Linked DNA regions of Mus musculus: all the other regions are reported to be linked to region 2. Evidence: microRNA targets listed by miRTarBase, many of them from high-throughput screens and not tested one by one. Region 2 holds a microRNA gene; each other region holds the end of a gene's coding sequence.
What was found. The annotated mature microRNA mmu-miR-1971 reads GUAAAGGCUGGGCUGAGA and lies in region 2 at 2,451-2,468, opposite strand. An mRNA with a match to its seed (bases 2 to 7 or 8) in the 3' UTR can be bound and repressed. Matches are read on the target gene's strand: a 7mer-m8 pairs with bases 2 to 8, a 7mer-A1 pairs with bases 2 to 7 and ends in A, and an 8mer does both.

Region 1 (5,362 bases), not on the chromosome of region 2:
ACTGGATGTGACTTCATACCAAGGTAATGCTAGATACTGCATGAAAATAGGTCATTAACTTTAAATTCTTAACAAAATATAATTTACCAGTTCCCAGGATTTCCAATACAGAACCACCTGAAGAGAAGCCATTGTTCAATTCCAGTTCAGTGTGGGTGACAAAGTGAAATTTAGAAGTAAAATTGTCTATTTGGTATTTCAGTCTTTATTAACTTTTCATTTAAATTTTGCCTGTCAGTCTATATTGCTGTTTTTATTATACATCAGATTCTTTGTATAACTTGTGAGTTTTATGTGCTTTGTTTTATAATGTAAATATCATTATAAATAAACTTATTTATAAATGAGAGATTTGTTAATTATTGTAGCTCATACTTTTCAAGACACCCCCAGTGCTGAGGTGCTAGGTAAACACTTAGATGGGTGACACAATCCTACAGTGCTATTTTTTTTTCAGGTATCTGAGACTCTGAACTCCTGACTCAGTAGATTTAATATTGAAGATATATGACTGTATCAAATTTATCTCCCCACTACGGGGCTGCCAGGAATTTGCAGGTGTTAATGCTACCTCCTTGTGATCACAGTACCCAGGTCGCTTAGTCAAGTTGTTGGAAATTGTACCTTTTAAACCCACAGTGAATTTCCCTTAACTTTTCTGTGTGAAATGTGTCTCCCACAGTAGGCTCATTGGTTGTGGTGTTGTTATATCTGAATTTTTTCTAATGAAATGTAGTTGGATTCTCCCTGTAATATTTTATTATGTCTTGGGTTTAATAAAAATATTTGTGATCATTAAGTTGTATTTCACACCCTTTGTAATGGTTTTTAGCCCTCGTTCTCCTTCCCCAGAGAAGTATGTAATATTGAACAGAAACAGGACCATCTTATGTTTAAGATATTGCTTGGCAATGGATAGGGATTTGGTACATAAAATGAATCCTCAATTGTCCTTTCATTGGGCCAGTGTCATTAAACATCACAGTCCATTGGTAGGCTTTTATTTTCTCCTTTATAAAACAGGATTTCTTGGCATAGACCTAGCTGTCTTGGAACTCTGTTGACTAGGCTGGTCTCTGCCTTCCAAGTGCTGGGATTAAAGATGTCCACCACCCATCATGAAATAGGTTTTATTTTTTTAGTATAAGTCATATATGTGTAATAAGACACCTTATGTGTCTTGTCTTGGACAGGTGACTCGCCGATAGGAGTTCCAATAGAGTCAAGGTGTGGGTGGATCAGAAGATTGGGTTTCTATTTGTGCAGCCTGTAAAGAAGGGATCTACCTTCTTCAGTGGCTGTCTGACTTAACATTGTGGCTATGTTAAATACTGCCCTATAGAGCATGCTGATGTTACACTGATCATAGAAATATGTAATACTATTTTGAGTTTCCATTTTTCCCATAGGAATTGTGTTTATTACTTTTCCTAAATTCTGTTTCCATTAAAGATACTCTTTTAGCCAGGCAGTGAAGGTACATGCCTTTAATCCCAGCACTTGGGAGGCAGAGGCAGGCGGATTTCTGAGTTCGAGGCCAGCCTAGCAACAAAGTGAGTTCCAGGACAGCCAGGGCTATACAGGGAAACCCTGTCTTGAAAAACCAAATAAAAAACAAAACAAAACAAAAAGGATAATCTTTTATGGAAGGTAATACAGAGGGAAGTACCTGCGCATCAGGGTCATCTCCACCTTCATTAAAAGCATTGTTTGTATGTTTCCCTAAAGACTTTTTCCTATTGATTGTTTTAATCACACAATGTCTACCCATGCAACGAGATTCTTTTTTATTTTAACAGCCACCAATGTTAAAATTTTATTTAAAAGATCAAGTTCATGCATTTTATGTTTAACATACAAAATTTTGTCCTCTGTTCCCCCCCCCCCCAGCCCTGTTAAATCAGAGAAAATGTTCTAAAAAAAGAAGAGATGTTAAATAAGAGCACACCTATCTGGACATGTATTTCTTTCTCTCTCCCTACAATCTCCTTTTTTATTTTTATTTTTTGCCTTTTAGCAATATGTTCTTCTGAATCTCACATAAAGCACAAGATCATCTTTATTAGTATTTCCATACATTTTGCAACATACCACACACACTATTAACATTAATGAAGCTAACATACAAAGCAAAGTGTGCATTCCATCAATATAGTTTAAAATAGGGATCCAGGTTCGGCAGCATGGAAACGAGATTACAGTGAGTGCAGTGCCAGCTTGGGCCTGGGCCACATTGTGCATCCCAGTCAGCCTTCAGATACCAAGTGAGAAAACAGTCCAAAACAGTCCTGGGGAGTAATATTGCTAATTAGGAGACCCTTTATAAACAAAAATAAAATGGTTGCATTTAAAAAAAAAAAATAAAATGAGTATAAGTGCAAATGCCACAGTGCTTAAGGGGAGGGCAGAGGACAGACAGTAGGTGAAAGTCAGTGTTTTGCTTCCATTATGTAGGTGCCAGAGACTGATCTTAGGCCTTCTGGGTTTGGCGCCAAATGCCTTTATCCATGGAGCCAGCTCACTGGCCTGTTGTTTAGAAGATTGTGTAGAGAGGTGCTTTCCACTCTGTTTCTCAGCCACCATGAGTAAGTAAACAGTCATTTTGGCACATACTGCTCCACAGTTCCAACCCAGTGGAGCCAATGAGTGGAGCCACACAAATCTTCCCTCCCTGTAAGCTGTTGTGTATCTATTACACTTTGTCAGCAAATAAAAACTAATTATCGCAGACTGTTTGTTTTTTTCAGTTCACAGCAACACTAGGAGCAGTCCCATTTCCTGCTGTCCCCACACCTACAGTCTCCTCTGTTGCTAACATGTGCTACATACGCTACAGTTTGCATGTGTTCTGCATTCTGAGTAAGTTTATAAATGTAAAGACGTGTACTCATTCTCTCTGACAGCATCCCACAGAACAGACTGCCCGGACTGCCCATCTGCCTCCCGTCTTGCCCATGTCACCACTGGCTTGGGCAGCTTCTCATCCTCTTCTTTTGCATAGTTGGAGCCTTTTTGTGTTGGCTCCTTTCACTTAGCTGTGTGTGGCACTGGCTCACCCATGTACTGTTCGTGGCTTACTAGCCCTGATGTGTACGCACCAAGGATTGTTCTGCATTTCCTGCTAAAGGCCATCTTTGAGGTTTTTAAAGTTTTAGCAGCTGTATGTGAAGCAGCATCCAAGATATATGTTCAAGCTTAGTGTGGACATGCTCATTGAGTAAATACACAATGTGAGACTGACGGGCCCCACAGAAGGGGACATTTTAATTTTTGAGAAACTAGTTCTCTCAGTGCCATCTTTTGCATTCCTGTCCCCAGGTCCCATAACTTCAGTGTTTCTCCAGTGTTTATTTGGTCTTGAGATTTTACTGTTCTAGTCAGCACTGCTATTATAATTCCCTAGTGCCACTGTATTGCTGCCTCCTCACAGGCTCATGGCCATCTGTGTATCTTCCAGCTAACATTTCAATCTGGGTATTTATTTTTTTTTACTATTGAATTTTCACAGTTCTTTTATATTTTAAACAAATCTTTACCAGGTGAATGTTCTGCACACATGTTCTCCCAGTCTTCTTAGTCTACTGTTTTTTGTTTGTTTGTTTGTTTGTTTTTTAAGATTTCTTTATTGTTTTGGTTTTCTATTGTTTTGGTTTTCCGAGATGGTTTCTCTGTGTAGCTCTGGCTGTCCTGGAACTCAGTTTGTAGACCAGGCTGGCCTCGAACTCAGAAATCCGCCTGCCTCTGCTTCCCAAGTGCTGGGATTAAAGGCGCGCGCCACCACCGCTCGGCTAGATTTCTTTATTGTATGTATGTGAGTACACTGTCGTTCTCTTCAGATACACCAGAAGATCAGATCCCATTACAGATAGTTGTGAACCACCATGTGGTTTGCTGGGAATTGAACTCAGAACCTCTGGAAGAGCAGTCAGTGCTAATTGCTGAGCCATCTCTCCAGCCTGCTTTTGTTTTTCTCATGTGAAAGATTATTGTAACCCTCTGTCTCTTGTCTCTGGGGTATCGAACTTTCTATGTCACAGCTCCTTTCCTTGTCTCTACAGCCTTCTGAATTGCAACAATGCTGAACTCAGTAACTTTTTGTTACTCCATTTTGTGGAATTTCAATTAAACTTCAACATCACTTTTCTTGGCTGTCCTTTAATCTTGATGAGTTTCTTCTTTATTACCCATTTTGTGACATGTCAGACAGATGTGTATTTTTGTGAAGTAGCTTATACACTTTGGTGTATACCTGAATAACATGCAGTAGTTAGTGATCATTATAATGACCATTAGTTTCTGTGTAGGAATTTGCTGATTGAAGAGCTAGCTGCAAAATCTGTATTTCATAGTTAACTATGCTTACTCATAGTTAAGATACTGTGTTGACTGATACCCTAGCCAGGAAACTAGTGTTGTTTAAAGCTTCCATACATCTTGATATGCACAACTACATATATTGTGAACTATTTCCCTGCAATTATAAAGTGTAAAGTTTTGAAAAAATAAAAGATTGGAAACTAAGTGCCTGCAGATAAAGACAAAACTGCAACACCCCTTGAGTTGCTATACACAGCAAGCAGAGTACTACAAAGTTACAGTCCTATTGGTGAGAAGTATGTGGATCCTCTAGCCAGCTAATGGAGTTCTCATCTGATGATGGGTCCTGATTCATCTAGAGTTTTGTCTGTGGCCTCTTTAGTATCCAGGCAGAAATGGCAGGGATAGCTTGGACTTTGTTCCGTAATGACACCAGTTTGGGGTAGATATCCAACAAGCCAGGCTTTAAAACCAAAAGTGTGGTGCTGCAGATATCCCAGTAGAAGTCTGCCCAGGTTACCTGCTTAAAGGAAAACAAAGACTTGGCTTTTGAATATGTTAAAACAAAAAGAAAAAGAAAAAAGCATTCCAAAAGTGAACTTACTTTCTTACTCTCAGGGAACACTTCCTTTCCATTTCAAAACAATTCTTTGTTGGCACAAAGCTGAACATGTGCATGATAAAATTGGAAGCCGACAGGCATCACAGTGTCCAAGGAACATCGAAATGACTACTGTCTGCAACTAAGTGGAGATGCCTGAGACAGGCGGCTGGCAGCTGATGGTCCAGTGCTACACTTTTTTGAAGCCCTGTCCACTCTCTACCAGCCTGACCTAACAGATTTCCATCTGTTCCAAAAGCCCTCTGTAGGAAGAGGTGGGCTCCTCCCAGGTGTGTACATGTCCTGTGATGGGGAATGGCATGCTCCTTTTTGTATGTCACCATTGATGATTCCACACTAGTCCTGTAAATGTGCTGTTTGTGAGGGGATCTGTGATTATTTCATTATGTTGTGTACCTTGTACCTTTGCGTTTTAAGGTACAA
Region 2 (5,362 bases):
GCCCTCCACGCTATTGAAACCTAAGTCAGTGTTATTCTTCTGAAACACCTCTAGTTTTTTTGCTCAATTAAAAACCAAACTCTCTAGAATGAATGGCAAGACCTTTTGATTCTGCCATCATTTCCTGCTTCTCCTGCTCTCACATCACTGGTTAGGTCTTCTGGGACACACCGGGTATATACCTGCCCCAGGGCCTTTGCATCTGTTCTTCTCTCTACCTAGAACATTTTCCTCCTGGATAGGACACAGATTACCCCTTCACCTTCAGGTCCAAACTTCAACACGATCTTTCCAGTGGATCTGAGATCTTTAGAAACTGGCTTCATTGTACTGTGCTAATGAGCAGTGCTCCAAGTGACCTCTTAACACACACAGCATCATTACATAGTGAATTGGCCCAGTTTCCCCAGGAAGTTTCTACCTGTCTTGTTCACTTGGGGACCAAGGCCAGTGGTGGCTCCCTTTATTATATCCTAGCAACCATCATTCCTTGGACAGGTGATGAGTTCCTTGTCTTACATAGGTAATTAAACTAAGCATGTCCACTCAGGAAAACCCCATATTGAATCTATTTGTTTTATTTCTTGTAATGTGCTTAAGTTAAAGAGACTGAGAAAAATAATTCTACTGGGTACCTAACAGGAGGGAAATTAGAACAGGTGAGAGCAGGATACATGTGTGTGTGTCAGATTTGTCAAAAACGTGTTGCATAACAAACACCCAGAGATGCTCAAGTGGCATGCAAGATGGGCAGCAGTTATTGGTTTTGCTTCTGGAACCTAGTTTACCCCCCATACCCACAGGATCTCTATCTTCAGATTCAATCAACCATAAGTCAGGCATTATTCAAAGGAGTTAGAGTTTACACTGCTCAGGGACACACTTATTGACATTATCATGCCCCTCCCTAGAGTGCAGGCTAACAGATATTTAGAGTGTACATTCACTGCAAGCTAGAGACAATTTAAACTGTATATGAAGCTGTGCGGAGGTTATATGCAAATCCTACGCATTGTTCTAGGAGGTTGAGGCTCCCTGAATTTTGGTACCTGGAACTGATTTTTCCATCAGGTAGCCAGATGTTCATGAAGCTCTACTGCCCCTGGCTATGCTGCTCACATGTACAGGAGACAGCTTGAGATCATCTGGAAAGGCAGATGGACCAACCTCTGTCCAAAGTTTGCTTTGAATGTCAACACTAATGATTCTCTGTACATCAAGAAGGCATGAAAGAGACAGGATCTTGCATGTCTCTGCATTGCCATCGGGTCAGCTGTGTTTGTTATGGTGGAGGCAGAGAAACAAACAGCAGTAAATGGATACACACAAGAACTCATTAGTCTTGGGCTTGAAACTGCCTGAAAATGATGTACCAAAGCTTCAAATTCTGAGCCAAAGGTCACAATGTTTATATTGGGCCATATAAGTACTGAGTACTGGGCTGGAGAGATGGCTTGGTGGTTAAGAGCACTGACTGCTCTTCCAGAGGTCCTGAGTTTAATTCCCAGGAACCACATGGTGGCTCACAGCCATCTGTAATGGGCATCCAATATCACCTTCTGATGTGTCTGAAGTCAGTGACAGTATATGCACATATATGAAATAAATAAATCTTTTAAAATCTTTTTATATGATGACTCTAATTATTGAAAGGAACAAACAGGGCTCAAAGCATAGCTCAGTCAGTAAAGGGTTTTCTGAAATCTCAATACCCAGAATTCAAGTAAAGAATAGCCAAGTTAGCAATACCACTTCTAATTCCAGCACTGACTGAATGGAGACAAATTCCTGAGGCTCGCAGGCCAGATAGACAGGGTAGTCTATTTGACAAGTTCTAGGCTAGAAGATGACTCTGTCTCAAAAAATGCAAAAGGTGTTTAGCACCTTAGGAACACCCATGGTGGGTCTTTGGCCTCTGCATGTGAACATGCACATTTATGCACAAAATAAATGAATAAGTAAATAAATAAAATAACATTGACAACATTGCTTTTTCATTAGCTCACCACTGGCTGCAGGTATTTGAATACCTTGTGGTAAACATTATGGAAGAGCTAGACATAGTGGTGCACACCTTTAATCCAAGCACTCTGGAGGCAGAAGCAAGCAGATCTCTAAGTTCAATACCGACCTGGTCTACCTAGTGAGTTCCAACAGTCAGAGCTACATAGTGAGACCCTGTCTTGAAACAAACACACAAACAAACAAACACACAAAAAATCATGGAAGCCTATTATTTCCAGCTGAGTTCCTGCACCAGATCCCAACAAAACAGAAAACAAACAAACAGACAGACGAACAAACAAAAAGCAAAAACAAAATGAGAGCTCTTCTCTTAAGTGCTATGTGAGCAAATTGAAATTTTAGGAAGTAGATAGACTGAAAAACAGACAAGTTGTTCCTGGAAGCAGAAGCTGCCTATCTACTGGGTCCATGGAACAAAGATGTCCTCTCAGCCCAGCCTTTACCAAATGATGCCCTGTACATCAAGAGCATGTACATCTAACCTGAAGTGACATGATGCCAACCTCTTGGTTTATCTCCCATGTCCTATTTCTTTGTAACCCCTCTTCTGCCATTGTGTAGCAGGAGTTTTTCATTCTGTTTGGTAGAATGGGGGCTGCCTCAGATCCATGAATTACAAATAAAAACCAATTAGATTTATAACTAAATGTTTTATAATTCTGTCTTTTGATACCAGCTGAAAGTCCCTTATACAATAATGGGTTTATTATGTCACATAATAAGTATGCTCTGTCAGTTATTTTGAATCTAAAGAATGCTTAGCCTTTGGGCATAATTTTCTGTAATTCTCATGCCTTTCTCTCATAGTTACAACCCAACTATTGGAGTTTTAGAAACCATGCTTTATAAAACAGCATGCAAGGATGGAGAGGATCAAATGGGACTTTGTCACGTTTATAGAATGAGGGCTTTTTTGTTTTTCTAGAAGTTTTATTAGGAAGATTTCCCCTTGGTCCTCATTGGCCAGGATTGCAGTCTGTTCCATCCTTAAGCTAACTACAAAGAGAGAATAGTTGACACATTGGCTTAACTGGATCAACATGCATTGCCTAAGCTGGGTATAAGTCCCTGAGGTATCCTAATTCGTGAACATGACTTGAATATGCCTGAAAAGAAATGTATAAAATAGGGAGTAGCTGCTGAACAGACCATAGAAACTGCCCTTCTTGGTTTCTCTGCATCCTTATTCTTTCCCACATAGACAACATACTCAGCTTGTCCTCCAAGGATATAATCCAAAGTCTGTATACAAGTGGATGGGTTCATTTGTGTGTGAGTGTGTGTGTATGTATACGTGTGTATGTGTGTATGAGTACATGTGTGTGTACACATGTGTATGTTTGTGTGTTGCATTGTGTGTGTTCACATGTATATGTATGTGGTATTAGTATTGGTGGGGAATTCCACAGTGACAGGGGATAAATGACTTTCCAGTGAGAGAGTGAGAGTGAAGACCAGCAGGCAAAGAGCAAAGTTTCCTTTCTCCATGTCCTTTATCTGGACTGCCACCAGAAGGTGCCACCTACACTTACATTGGGTCTTCATGCTTCGAGTCACCTGACTTAACAGCTAATACCCACATATAAGTGAATACACATATAAGTGAATACTTTTTCTGAGTCTGGGATACTTCACTCAGGTTGATTTATTTTCTATTTTCATCTATTTGCCTGCAAATTCCATGGTGTAATTTTTTTTTAAATGGCTGAGTAATATAAGCTGAACCACATATTTTTATCCACTCTTCTGTTGAGGAACATCTAGGTTGTTTCCAGTTTCTAGCTATTATGTATAGAGCAGCAATGAACATTGTTGAACGAGTGTCTTTGTGATAGGATGAAGCATTCTGTAGGTAAATGCCCAAGAGTGGTACAGCTGAATCTTGAGGTAGACTGATTCCCGTCTTCCACAGGAACTACCAACCAGATTTCTATAGTGGCTGTACAAGTTTGCACTCCCACCAGCAATGGAGGAGTGTTCTCTTACTCCACATGCTCTCCAGAATGGCTGTCACTTGTTTTATTGATCTTAGCCATTCTGGCAAGTGTTAGATGGAATCTCAAAGTAGTTTTGATTTGCATTTCCCTGATGGCAAAAGACGTTGAGGATTTCTTTAAGGGTCTCTCGGTCATTTGAACTTCCTCTGTTGAGAAATCCATGTTTAGGTCTGTACCCCACTTTTAATTGGGTTATTTGTTTTCTTAATATCCATCTGATTTTCTTAATTTGAGTTTTAACATTCTTCTCAGGCTTTTCTTCTCCATAAAAACTTCCTCGTGTTAAAAAGAGATGTACATGTCTTTACCCGGCTATTTAAACACCTGTGTTTTGTGCAATGTCTTCTCTTCGTGAAGAAGTCAGCACAGAGCCACCATGAACGCTTTACCTTGTGTGATCTCCCTTCTGTGGCTGCTGTAGAGAGCTTTTAAGGGCACTGCTTTCAATGAACTTCTAATTATCCACCTTGTGTCTGTACGTCTGCTCCTCATTTCTCAGTCTCCTTCCTGCCTTTACTGAACCATTTCCCTGAGCAATATTTTCATATGGGAAGAACATTGGCAGATTCCTTGACTATATGAGAATACTCTTGTTTTTATGTTTACTAGCTACTGTATCATAAAGCTTTATTGTATCTTCCTTAAATTCAGTATTTCTAATTTTTCTCACTTTTCCATTGTTATTTCTATTTGTATTTAGTGCTGCTATAATTTGAGGAAGAGGGAAGGGGAGGATGGAAAACGCTATGCTCAGACTTCATTCTTTAGTTAGAGGTCTGTTGCGGATAGCCTGGGGCTTATTATATTTTATGTTAATTCCTTTCTCCAGTGCGGGGCTGCAAATAAGGAATGAGTCGGCACTCATTTCCTGTAAACCTGCTTCCCACCTTAATTTGTAAAATAAAGGAGAGCTGATGATTGGACGGAGAAAGAGGGGAAGGTGGAGCTGAAGGTTTTGGGAGAAAGGGAGAGAGAGATAGGAGGATGGAGGAGGAGGTAGAAGGCAAGTAGAGCAGAAGCTCATGGCCTGGAGAAACCACAAGTTCTAAGGGGTCTCATAGATGTGGAAGATGGTAGTGTAGTGGCAGATCTGCCCAATGTAGGCACACAACACAGCATGTAATCATATTAATTGAGTTGTGTTTTCATTGCCTGGGCTTTTTTTGAGTTGGAGATTTACCACAGCAGAGGTCAGCTTCCTAACTTTCTTGAAAACTATGTATTTCAGGTCAGCTTTTCAGTCTTGTACCTTTATTCCATCCTTAGCCTCTGATATCATTTTTAATACATATAAATGAGCCATCAAATGGTATTGTGGATAGTTCTAAACTTATTTGTAG
Region 3 (5,362 bases), not on the chromosome of region 2:
AGCAAGTGGAAAAAGTACATACACGTTTCATGTAGTCATGCTGAACCAGTAGTCTTCTTTCAAAATGAGCTAAGCAACGTAGTGTTTCTTTTTTATTGTATAAAATGGGCTGGATGCTTATCTTAATGTATTGCTTGTGTGTATGTGTATGTTTTGTAAGTATTCATGATAGTGTGTACATGTTGGGGGCCACAGGAGGATGTTAGTATATCACTTGCCTTGATACAGGGTCTCTCATTGGATCTGGAGGTAGCCAGCAAGCTACACTGATGCTCCTGTTTTTGTCTGGGTAAGAGGTGCTGGCCGCCACTGTGGCTTTTCCATTGTTTCTGAAGTTCAAACTCAGGTCGTCATGCTTTCACAACAAGAGCTATTACTTTTCCAACCATTTATTCAGTCCACTGTTAGTGAAAATTATGTTTGTTTGTTTCTCCAGCCTCTGTTCCAAGCCTAACCCATCTTTGTCGTTTGGAAATTCGGGCCAGTCTAAAAGCAGAGCACCTTCACTCTGACATTTTCATCCATCAGTTGCCACTTCCCAGAAGTCTGCAGAACTATTTGCTCTATGAAGAGGTTTTAAGAATGAATGAGATTCTAGAACCAGCAGCTAATCAGGATGGAGAAACCAGCAAGGCCACCTGACACAGGTCCTTTAATTCTGTTTAGTCACAAAAGACGGCTTGTGTGACTGTTTGGATTTGGTGATCAAATGTCCATGTTTACAGTTGCTTTTCCCAGTTTGTGTCTTTCCCAATATTGTGAACCTTATCCATCTTGCCTTACTCAGTTTTATTTCTAGTGCACTTTGTTGTGTATTATTTGTTTACCTGACCATTTTCTACTTTATTCTGCTAATAAACTGTAATTCTGATGTGGTGCTGGATGTGACTTCTTTCTACTTAGGATTCATGTTCACCTGTGCTAGAATCTAAGGATAGAATCCATAAATTTCCCCAGAAGAATTTATAACATCTGTCCTTTTGAATTATATTTCATTATTATTTTACTTAGGGATGAATATCTTCAATGTTTATTAAGAGGAAACTTTCCTCCATGTTATAATCTGTTCTCAGTCCTTAATTCAAACATTTTTGTGAGGTGTTGATACTCTTGCATTTTCACATGTAAAATCAGGAGTCCTTTAAAAAAAAAAAAAAGAACATAAAAAGTCAGTCATATTGTTGATCTCTCGCCCCCTAGGTTCATTCTTTCTTTATACTTTTGGCAAAAGATACCTGATTTTTAGTTTGCAAAGACAAGAACACATCTAAACTCAAAGTCATACACAGCATAAACTATTTTATGTCATCTTTAGAAGTATTTTACTGCACTTAGAATATTAATAAAGAAACCTGAAAAGGACATTCATACAGCACTATCTATAGGGAAAGAATGCACACTTTATTAATTTAATGCTAAATATAATAGCCAGGCTTCATTCAGCTCCAGAATAAGAGAGCAGCTTTGTTCCTGTTAGTCACCAATAGTCAATTATATCACATCAATATAATGTTTTTCTTAATGTCTGGATGTATTTTCAGATCGTGGATGAAATATGGACCTCAGAATACTACTGCCTTGTGAATTTTTACAACTATTTTATTTAAACCTCGAGTCAAGAAAAATCAAACATGATCAAATCAGTTATTTAGGGAATTGGAAACTAGCCTTAAGAAGGTACTAGAGTGTTGCTGTCAATATAGACAGAACAGGCTGGTTTCTAAAGGAGGCAAGCCTTCATCTCTTGCCAGCAACCTGAGACTGGGTAGATCAGCTGGTCGCATTTTGATAAGCCCTTGAAAGAAGCATAATGTCTTACTGATAACTGATTGGGAAGACAAGCTCATCTTTACATTCAAGTCTTGTTTTGTGAGGATATAAAGTTAGGTATTGAAAAGTAGGCAGAAATTCTGATAGTTCTGGTTAATAAAGATATTCCAAACTTTTAAAATTTTATTTTTAAAATAATGTGACTTTTATTTTTCAAACTCTGTATCAGGTTTTGTTTTTGCTTATGGCCAAGTGTATATAGAGTGCTTTAAAAGAGTTTACCTTTTAATGTATTTTGTTCATGTCCAAATGTATTATAAAACCCTGATTTCCCATAAGTTATTATTGTGGTTTTCTTTTTGAAGCTCTGAAAGTCAATACAGATAGCCCCTGGCTGATGAGTTTTTGACTTTATAGTAGTGGAAAGGTGACCAGCATCTCATAGAAACTGCACTTTGAAGCTTGATCGTCTCCTAAGGCAGCAATACATAGTATGAGATTCTCTTGGATTCTGATGATGCTGAGCAGTGATAATGAGTTGTGACACCTGGCCAGCCATGTGACTGGAGGGTGACTGTAGAGGGCATTAGTACTCATAGTTAAGTACTGGAGAAACCAAGAACATTAAACACATTGGCTTATATCTTCAGTGGGTGGATGTGTATACCTGTTTTTCCAGGCACATGTAATTGTGTCAGGAGTTACATGTGGGTAAAACTGATACCAGGAGGTCCATTACTTAGGTCTTCATGGGACTTGAAGCAGTTATTTGAAAACTCCTGCATTCTGATGAGAGCCAGTGGGGGCCTCAGGCATCTCAGGAACACATTCCCTTTGGGAGGAGGCAGTGTTTCTTAGTTAAATATGGTCATATTTGACAACTTGCACACACTAGCATAGTAATTTTATAATCATGCTATTTCCATTTTTCTTGCCTTTTAAAAAGAAATTTCTAAACAAACAACTACAAGGAAAACTTAGTAACTCTGACATTACAGGTTTGGTTTTTTGTTTTGTTTTGTTTTTTTGGTTTGTTTTCTCTCTTTTGTTCTCACCTACAAGGCCCAATTGCTGGGTTTTTGTTTTCAATCTATCATTTTTACTGCTTTATTAAATGACAAATGATTGTTGGTGCATAATGTCTTGCAGCAAATAAACAATTATTTTGTCCAATGAAATCCTACCATTTTAATTAGATGGAACTGTGCATGCTTTTTTTTTTCTGTAACATATGGTACAGCCTCAACTGAATTAACATCAGTGGTTCACTATGAGGTCAGCATATGTTTATATTTTTAATGAAGAATTACTTTGAATAAGTTGTGTGTAGATTTTAAATGATATTGTGGAGTTGCTTTGGTGAATAATGTGTTAATTGAAGGACATTTATTAACTGGTTACTATGCTAATCTTTTAACAAATCCTCCTGGAAATAAGGGTAATGATATTTAAGTATTTGATATGAAAAGAAAATATAGGATATTAATAAATTAAAGGTGGAGGCAGGAGGATCATAAATTCGAGGCTATGCTCGAGTACATAGCCAGTTAGAGGCTAGCCTAGGATATGGATGAGTCCTCAAAAAATAATGTGTGTCTGTGTCTGTAAGAGAGAGAGAATCTTTTCACACACACATCCATACATACATACATACATACATACATACATACATACATACATACATACATACATACATACACTGACCTCCCCATACAGAAGAAAGAAAGGAAGATGTAACTCATCCTCCCGTCCAGGTCCATTAGTTTGTCTTTGAGGTTTTTATGGTTTCAATCTATGCAGAAAGTTAAGGAATTTAAAAATATGTATACTTAAAATTAACCAATTTCACATTTTTTTTCTTGGTCCATTCTTTTTTTTTTTTAAATCATTGCAGTGAAACCTTCAGCCAAGCTAAAGTCAAGTGCTTATAGACTTCTGAAGCAGTGAGAATGAGAGAAAGAAAGAAAAAAAACTGTGTCTGCTAATTCTTTGTCTAAGGTTACCCGAAGAAAGGGAAAAAACCCAGCCTCATATTTATATAAAGAATATGGAATTGTAGGTAATACCTGATGGACGTTCTCTAGCCATGTGGTCTCTGTCCAAGGTAACCACGCAACTGCATATTTTGTGCACCACTCCAGTATATGTGCATTTATGATGGCTTTTTCTTAATGGGGGGGGGGTGTTGAAATGGTCTTACTGTAGCTAATGCTGCTCTGGAACTATAGCTCTGGTTGGCCTGGAACTCACTCCACCTACATCCCCTGCAAGCTGGGATTACAGATGTGAGTCATGGCATCTGGGTTTATAAAGTAACTTAAATTGGTACAACTAGTAAATACTGGTGTGATTTCTTTGTGTCTTGGCTGATTTTTACTGCTCAGCATGAACTGATGAAACAGAGCAGGTAGGAATTGCCATTCGTACACCAAGACCTCGAAGATATCTGCTTATGCCCCTTTTATCATCAAATGGTTTGTATATCTTCTTCACTACTTTCCTGTGTAGATAATAAAAATTTATCTGAAGTCATTATAAGGTACTAATTTACAATCTTTGTCTAACATAATGAAATCATGAAAGTTCAGCTGTCAATGGGTTTGAACTGAACAGTTGAAAAGAGAGGATATTTCAAACGTTATTGAGTTGTTAGATCAAATGAAAGGAGCCAAGAGATCAGTTCCCAACTCTAGCATTCTCATAAATATATACATCAGTTAGTAATGTGAGGTTTAAATTTTGTGTTTCTTACAAACTGTTACTTACTGTTAAGACAATAAAATACTCAAATCCTCATGGCATTTGGACAAGCATATAATGTACTTCCAGCACAAACTCTTACACTCTAATTCTCTCCTTTTCTTCCTGTTAGTCGCCTTGTACTCCTCAGTAGTTTTGTTCCTACATCATGTTACATACACAAACATGATTTTATGTATCTATATATAAAAGCTTAAAACTACAAATAAAAGAGAAAGTGATACTTATCTTTCTGAGAATAACTTGATTCCTTCAGCTTTTATCATAAAAATGTCTTCGGTCTCCATTCATAGTGTATCCAGCTTTTCACCTTGCCTCCACAGTTCTTTGGATGCTCTAGATGAGAGTGAGAAATTCCTGTTGAACTCAGTGTGGCCAAGCTGAGAATCTTTGTAGTAGTGTCTTCAACGCCAGCCTGCACAGTCATAGTTAACTGCCAATTTCCCCAGCCCTTGCTTAGTCCAGATAACGCTTTCTGTAGCTCTGGTGTGTGTGTGTGTGTGTGTGTGTGTGTGTGTGTGTGTGTGTGTGTGTCTGTGTGTCTGTGTGTCTGTGTGTCTGTGTGTCTGTGTGTGTCTGTGTGTGTAGTCAGAGAGACAGAAAGAGCGAGCGAGCACACAAGAGCATGTCCCTGTGGTTAGCATGGATCTCAGCTGGAGTAAGGTAGCACTGATTTATGACCATTCTTCTTGCTTTCCCTAATTCTCACTCAGAGACCTCATAGCCCTAGTTATTTTTCACTCATTGCCTCTCACAGGAATAAAATTTATTGTTTTTTATTCTGTCTTTCTCTGGGTTGCTTTGATGGAGCTCTTAGCTACCATCTTACCTT
Region 4 (5,362 bases), not on the chromosome of region 2:
ATCCTCCTGTTCCCATTACCTCAGGACTCAGATAAGAAGGACACACCACCATTCCCAATGTTTACCCAGCTTTTCATCCAAACTCAGGTCCTTCTGCTAACTCAGCAAAGGCTTTACCCACGGAGTTATCTCTGAAGCCCTTGAATGCATATCTAAAACCGTATAAATCCCAGCAAGATGACAATCTTTATTGCTGGTTTACAAGTGAGAAGAAAAAAAAAAAAGGCTGAGGGAAGTTAAGTACGTCATGTAAGATCTCAGGATGAACTAGGACCTGGAGCTATCTGGCTCCAAGACTATAATTCTTCCTTCTCTTGTAGGATTCATAATCTCCCTGAGCTGTTCCTTCAGGTCTCCTCTAGTTGGCTCTCCTACACAGGTTAAGAAGAGTGTTTGCATTGATTCCTTGAACATGACACATTGGAATGAAGGCAAAAACACAACCCTGGCCAGAGAGGAAGCGCAGCACTGGCATAGCATAGTTAAGCAGACAAGAGAGCTTCAACTGGGGGCCCTGGAATTAGGGCAGGTGTGAGAGGAAGCCTGGCAAGGCTGAGCTAAGGCTTGAAGCCCCAGGGGACCCTGAAGGGCACCAGGCCCCTGTCATGTAGTCACAGCTCCCCATACAGAGAATCGTGGCCATCAACCCCATGGGGCAGCACCCCTAAGCCCTTCTTCATGTAGATGAGGCATCTCTGGCCAAGCCAATAGGAAGCACTTGCTGTCAGACCCACCCCACCCCAGAACTGCACATAAGATCCTATGCAGAAGGAATAAAGGTGTGTGAGAATGACTCCATCATCTGAGAGCATCTGTCACAAGAGCTGTAACACTGCCTGGGAAGAGAACGCTCTCCTGGAAGCTTTCGCCAGCAGAAGCTCCCCTGCACTCAGCTCTCTCACTGGCCAGCCCTCTGCCAACTCAGCTTGGCTTTGCTTGGCTCAGCACAAACACTGCAATGCTTTGGAGCAACAGCTGCTGCTGGGGCAGCAGCAGCAGCAACAGCAGGGGGGGGGTGTGGGGTGTGGAGGGGGGTTGGCAGAAGCACTTGCGGCTCCCAACTTGTGCCCTTTCCCCTTTGCTTGAACCCTCCCACCAGGCCAGCCCAGAGATCTCTGGTACACAGACCGACAGTCACCTACTCCAAAATCCCCTAATGTGCTTTGAATCATGCCTGCAAGCTCACTTGGTTGTCTCTCTATCTTGGAGACCTCAGCATGCTGAACTTCTGCAGAATAAAACGTTCTTTGCATTTACATACTATTTGAGTCTGGGGTGTAATTTTTTCGCCAAATCATGGGCCCTTACAAAATGAGTATGAAGAAAGCTGTTAGCAGTGTGTGCCCTGTGCTTAATATTACACATATTAAGTAAATGCAGTAAGTATACATTAATTTTGTCCTCATCCAAGGTGGACCACATGGCTTTTGTGGAAATCTATCTAGTGCAGCTTAGCCTTAGACACATAGCTAAGTGGATATGGCCATTTTCTTGCACAGATCTCTGAGAACAGAGATGCTGGCCTTCCATTTGGTCTAAGCTGCTTGTTTCTTCTAGTCAGCCCTAATTCTGAGGTACCATTCTGAAGGTACCTTACTGTCAGCTGATATAGCACACAGTCTCACATGGACACAACCCCAGATGTGAGCCCAGAATATGGTTTCATGTCTCTTCCACTAGGCTTTCCCCAGCAAAACAAGGAACTCCCGAGAGCACTGTGGGGCTCATGAGGCTTTCTTCACAGGCCACGGGCCTCCATCATCTCAGCTTCTCATCACTGAAATCTTACTTCAAGAAAATAATCCACCAAGGCAGTTCCAAACTTCTGCATGTCAGAATCCTTTGGTGATCATGAAAAAACAACCACCCTAACTGCCATTTCCAGGCCTGATCCAAATATCTAATTAATATATGTCTCTAGAATGACAGCTGGGAATCTATGTGAGTAACAGTTGTTCCCTCTGTGGTATTCAGAAACCAGAAGAGAGCTGTGGAGTGGGACTAAGGAAGATAATAGGGCTGAACATGAGGTCAGTGTAATAATGTACATATGAGCTCTTCATAATGAGGCTTATGTTGTTCATTGACAAAAATTAATTAAATACATGAAAAACATTTTTTTGTTTTGTTTTGTTCTGTTCTATTTTTATTTTATTTTATTTTTTTTAAGACAAGGTTTCTTTATATAGCCCTGTTTGTCCTAGAATTTGCTTTGTAGACTAGACTAGCCTCGATTTCAGAGATCTGCCTGCCTCTGCCTCCTGATTGCTGGGATCAAAGGTCTGCGGCACTACTGGCTAGATTGGTTGTTGTTTGTTTTTGAGACAGGTCTCTCTATAACCCTGGCTGTCCTGTAACTCACTGTCTAGTCCAGGCTGGCCTCGAACTCATGGAGATCCACCTGACTCTGCCTCCTAAGAGCTGGGATTAAAGGTATACATCTCTGTACCCAGCTAAAAACATTTTTTTTTTTTGAGACAGGGTCTCACTAGCTAGCTTTTTCGGGCCTGGAGTTCCCTAGGTAGACCAGGCTAGCCTTAAACTCAGACATCCACCTATCTTTGCCTCCTGAGTGCTAGCATTAAAGGTGTGCACTATTCTGACTGGCAAAAACAAAACAAAAAAAAATTTTTTTAAGTGAACAAAACTCAACCCCCTTCCATTTGTGTACTTGAGACATTTAACTCCACTTTTAGAACTGGCTTGTCTCTGGGAAAGATCTCTTTATCCAGGGGCTTATGAGACCCCACCCTTTACCTCTGAAGCATGGGCTATCAGTCGATCCTCTGAGAGGAGGGATGTGGTCTTTACTTGGGTGTCCTCTGCTGAGCCCATCACACCCCACAGATGGTCCTGGCAAATCTTTCTGGGACACTAAACGAAACATCCAGGAACACAAGCGAGATTGGTGGAGGGTGGGGGGGATCGGGCAGAGGTAGTAGAGATGTGTGTGTGTGTGTGGAGGGGTGAGTGTTCAGAATGCAAAGTATATGTGTATGAAACCATAAAAAATAAACAGGGGCTGGAGAGATGGCTCATTGATTAAGAGCACCTGCTGCTCTTGCAGAGACCCTGAGCTCAGTTCCCAGTGCCTATAAGGCGGCTCATAACCACCTGTAACTCCCATCCCAAGGGATTTCATGTCCTCTTCCGGTCTCCACAGGCACCCATGTGGTGCACAGACATACATTCTGGCAGCACATTCATCTATGTAAAATAAAACATAAATTTTTTAAAAGTGGATACTTGATAGTAATAAAATCTCTTTGTCAGCGAAACGTTTTTGCATCCCTGATTTGTTTGTTGAGACATTTCAGGATGTGTGCCAAGCTGGCCTTGAATTCATGATCCTCCTGCCTCAGACTCCTGAGGGTTGAGATTACCGGCATGTGCCCTCATACATGGAAAGAAGATGCAGGAGAGGAAGTTTGCGCTCTCTTCCTTGCTGGCCTCGTGTCTAAGTTTCCTGCGTGTGCACCATTTGGTGCCTGATGCTCTCAGAGGCCAGAAGACAGAGGGTATGGCCCACCCCCACCGCCACCACCCTCACCCCAAACCAGTGTTACAGATGTTTATAAGCTGCCATGAGAGGGCTCGGAATGGAACTCGAGTCTTCTGCAAGAACAGCCTGTTCTCTTAACCACTGAGCCACCCTTTCACACACTACAGCCATGCCTTTGAGAACTCGTGACACAAATCATACTCATGCTATTTTAAAATTACTTTTCTGGCATCAGACAGACAAACATTTGTTCTAGGTACAACAGATTGATGTTATATATCCACCGTTTTCTTCTCTCGGATCGCGGAAGGAAGCCATTACAATGTGCGCAGAGCATAGAGAACAGACTGCGAGATCCATGAACCCTGAAAGGCTGTGTGTGCATGTCAGCCTGTCACAGTCTGAGACTCTTTGCCCTTGGCTGCTGCTCCGCCTGACGTCTTTGCTCACTCCGAGAGCGTGATGACAGTCTTTCCAGCCACAGACCTACGCTTCTGCTTTCCCAAAGGCTCTGGCAGATGTCTGCTCACATGGCGCTCTCTGACTCAGTGAAGTCTGCAGGCAGCTCAGCTTCCCCGGGAACCTGGGCCGAAGGCGTTTGTTACCACACAGTTGCCCTAGCAGCAGCTGCTCTAGACTCAAGCTTAAAGGCCTCAACAAAGGCCTGTCTTGGGGGCGAATGCTGTCCTCTGGAGGATGGCTTGACTGAGGGTGTGCAATTCCATACTTCTGCGGAGAGGATGCTGTAGGGAAGCTTTTGAGAGACCCCTGGCCAGGAAGTATTAAAGTTTGTGATGGAGCATAATGGTGGATGCCCGTAACCCGACACGTTGGGAGGTTGAGGCAGAAGGACTGAGACTTCAAGGCCAGCCTGGGCTACGTGGCTTTGGGATAGGCGACATTCTGTGGTGTGTCTGGATATGAAGCCCCCAAACAAGTTTCTGCTAAGCGTGGCTTTTATGCATCCAGGCTGTGACAGTGTGCTGACTCAGTCTGGCAACCTTCCAGGGGACTTTCTGGGCCTTTCCTCTGTGGAGTCCCCTCCTCTCCACAGCTCATCTTGAACTTCTTTGCAGCCAACGACACACTTGACCTTGTCCTCTCCAAACAGTCTGAGTTCCTCCTTTAAAGCGCAAAGGAGCTTTGCCTATCCTACGGTACATTGTGTTCTAATAGCGAGTTTCCATGGCTGCTCACTAACAACACAGGGACCCTGGAAGGGAAGTGAGGAGAATTTTCAAAACAGAGGACAAAATCTTGCTGTGGAATCAGAAAGAATTAATGCTCTCTGCTCACCTTGTGGAGTATCTGTATTTACCTGGGGCTCGCTGTATCGTTCCTCTTCCCTCTGTAAATCACTAAAGGGACAGGGAAGAAAGGGACAGGGAAGAGGACACAGAGGCTGTGTCACAAACTCAGACATTGCTTAAGTGCTGAAAATTTGTTACTGTCAATATTCAGAAAGCTGTTTTTTTATAGCACTTCACAGCAAGCAAAGAGGAGCGTGAGCTACCAAACTGTTCAAAGCGACCAGAAGTTTCTGACAAACCAGCGTGACTAAACCCCTGCTTCACGAAGTGAATCCTCTAAATATCCCTGGGCTCACAGTACTGATTGGATGAGGGATATTTCTTTTACCCTCAGGCCAACTTGCTGTGCCCTCCACTCCCCCCCCCAAAAAAAAAAACCTCCACTATTTCATTCATTCAGACATTTGCACAAGGTGAACATGAACCTTCAACTGCTAAAGATGTCGTGGGGAAGAAAGTCTCCAAAGCTCCACAGGATGAGCAGGTGACACTGAAGCTGGCTGGGTACCAAAGGAGAAGGATACCACACAGGGCACACAGACCCCACACC

Region 1: the mRNA of Hpgds is a reported target of mmu-miR-1971. Seed matches in the 3' UTR shown: 8mer at 3,762-3,769 and 7mer-m8 at 3,123-3,129.
Region 3: the mRNA of Asb3 is a reported target of mmu-miR-1971. Seed matches in the 3' UTR shown: 7mer-A1 at 650-656 and 7mer-A1 at 1,139-1,145.
Region 4: the mRNA of Fndc7 is a reported target of mmu-miR-1971. Seed matches in the 3' UTR shown: 8mer at 4,147-4,154, 7mer-A1 at 2,582-2,588 and 7mer-A1 at 2,428-2,434.

What each region holds. Positions count from the first base shown.
Region 1 is chr6:65,115,252-65,120,613 of GRCm38, forward strand. Hpgds (hematopoietic prostaglandin D synthase) reads right to left here. Exons shown (of 6, transcript NM_019455.4): 6 at 2,042-4,837. The coding sequence ends at 4,673. It overlaps Smarcad1 (SWI/SNF-related, matrix-associated actin-dependent regulator of chromatin, subfamily a, containing DEAD/H box 1), which reads left to right. Exons shown (of 24, transcript NM_001355250.1): 24 at 1-798. Among named protein-coding and RNA genes, the nearest start is that of Hpgds, 27 kb to the right of the region's middle.
Region 2 is chr14:78,189,001-78,194,362 of GRCm38, forward strand. Mir1971 (microRNA 1971) reads right to left here and starts at 2,478; the gene lies at 2,373-2,478.
Region 3 is chr11:31,100,601-31,105,962 of GRCm38, forward strand. It overlaps Asb3 (ankyrin repeat and SOCS box-containing 3), which reads left to right. Exons shown (of 10, transcript NM_023906.3): 10 at 437-2,104. The coding sequence ends at 642. Among named protein-coding and RNA genes, the nearest start is that of Gm40822, 67 kb to the right of the region's middle.
Region 4 is chr3:108,851,551-108,856,912 of GRCm38, forward strand. It overlaps Fndc7 (fibronectin type III domain containing 7), which reads right to left. Exons shown (of 13, transcript NM_177091.5): 12 at 4,799-4,860; 13 at 2,128-4,715. The coding sequence ends at 4,817. Among named protein-coding and RNA genes, the nearest start is that of Stxbp3, 14 kb to the left of the region's middle.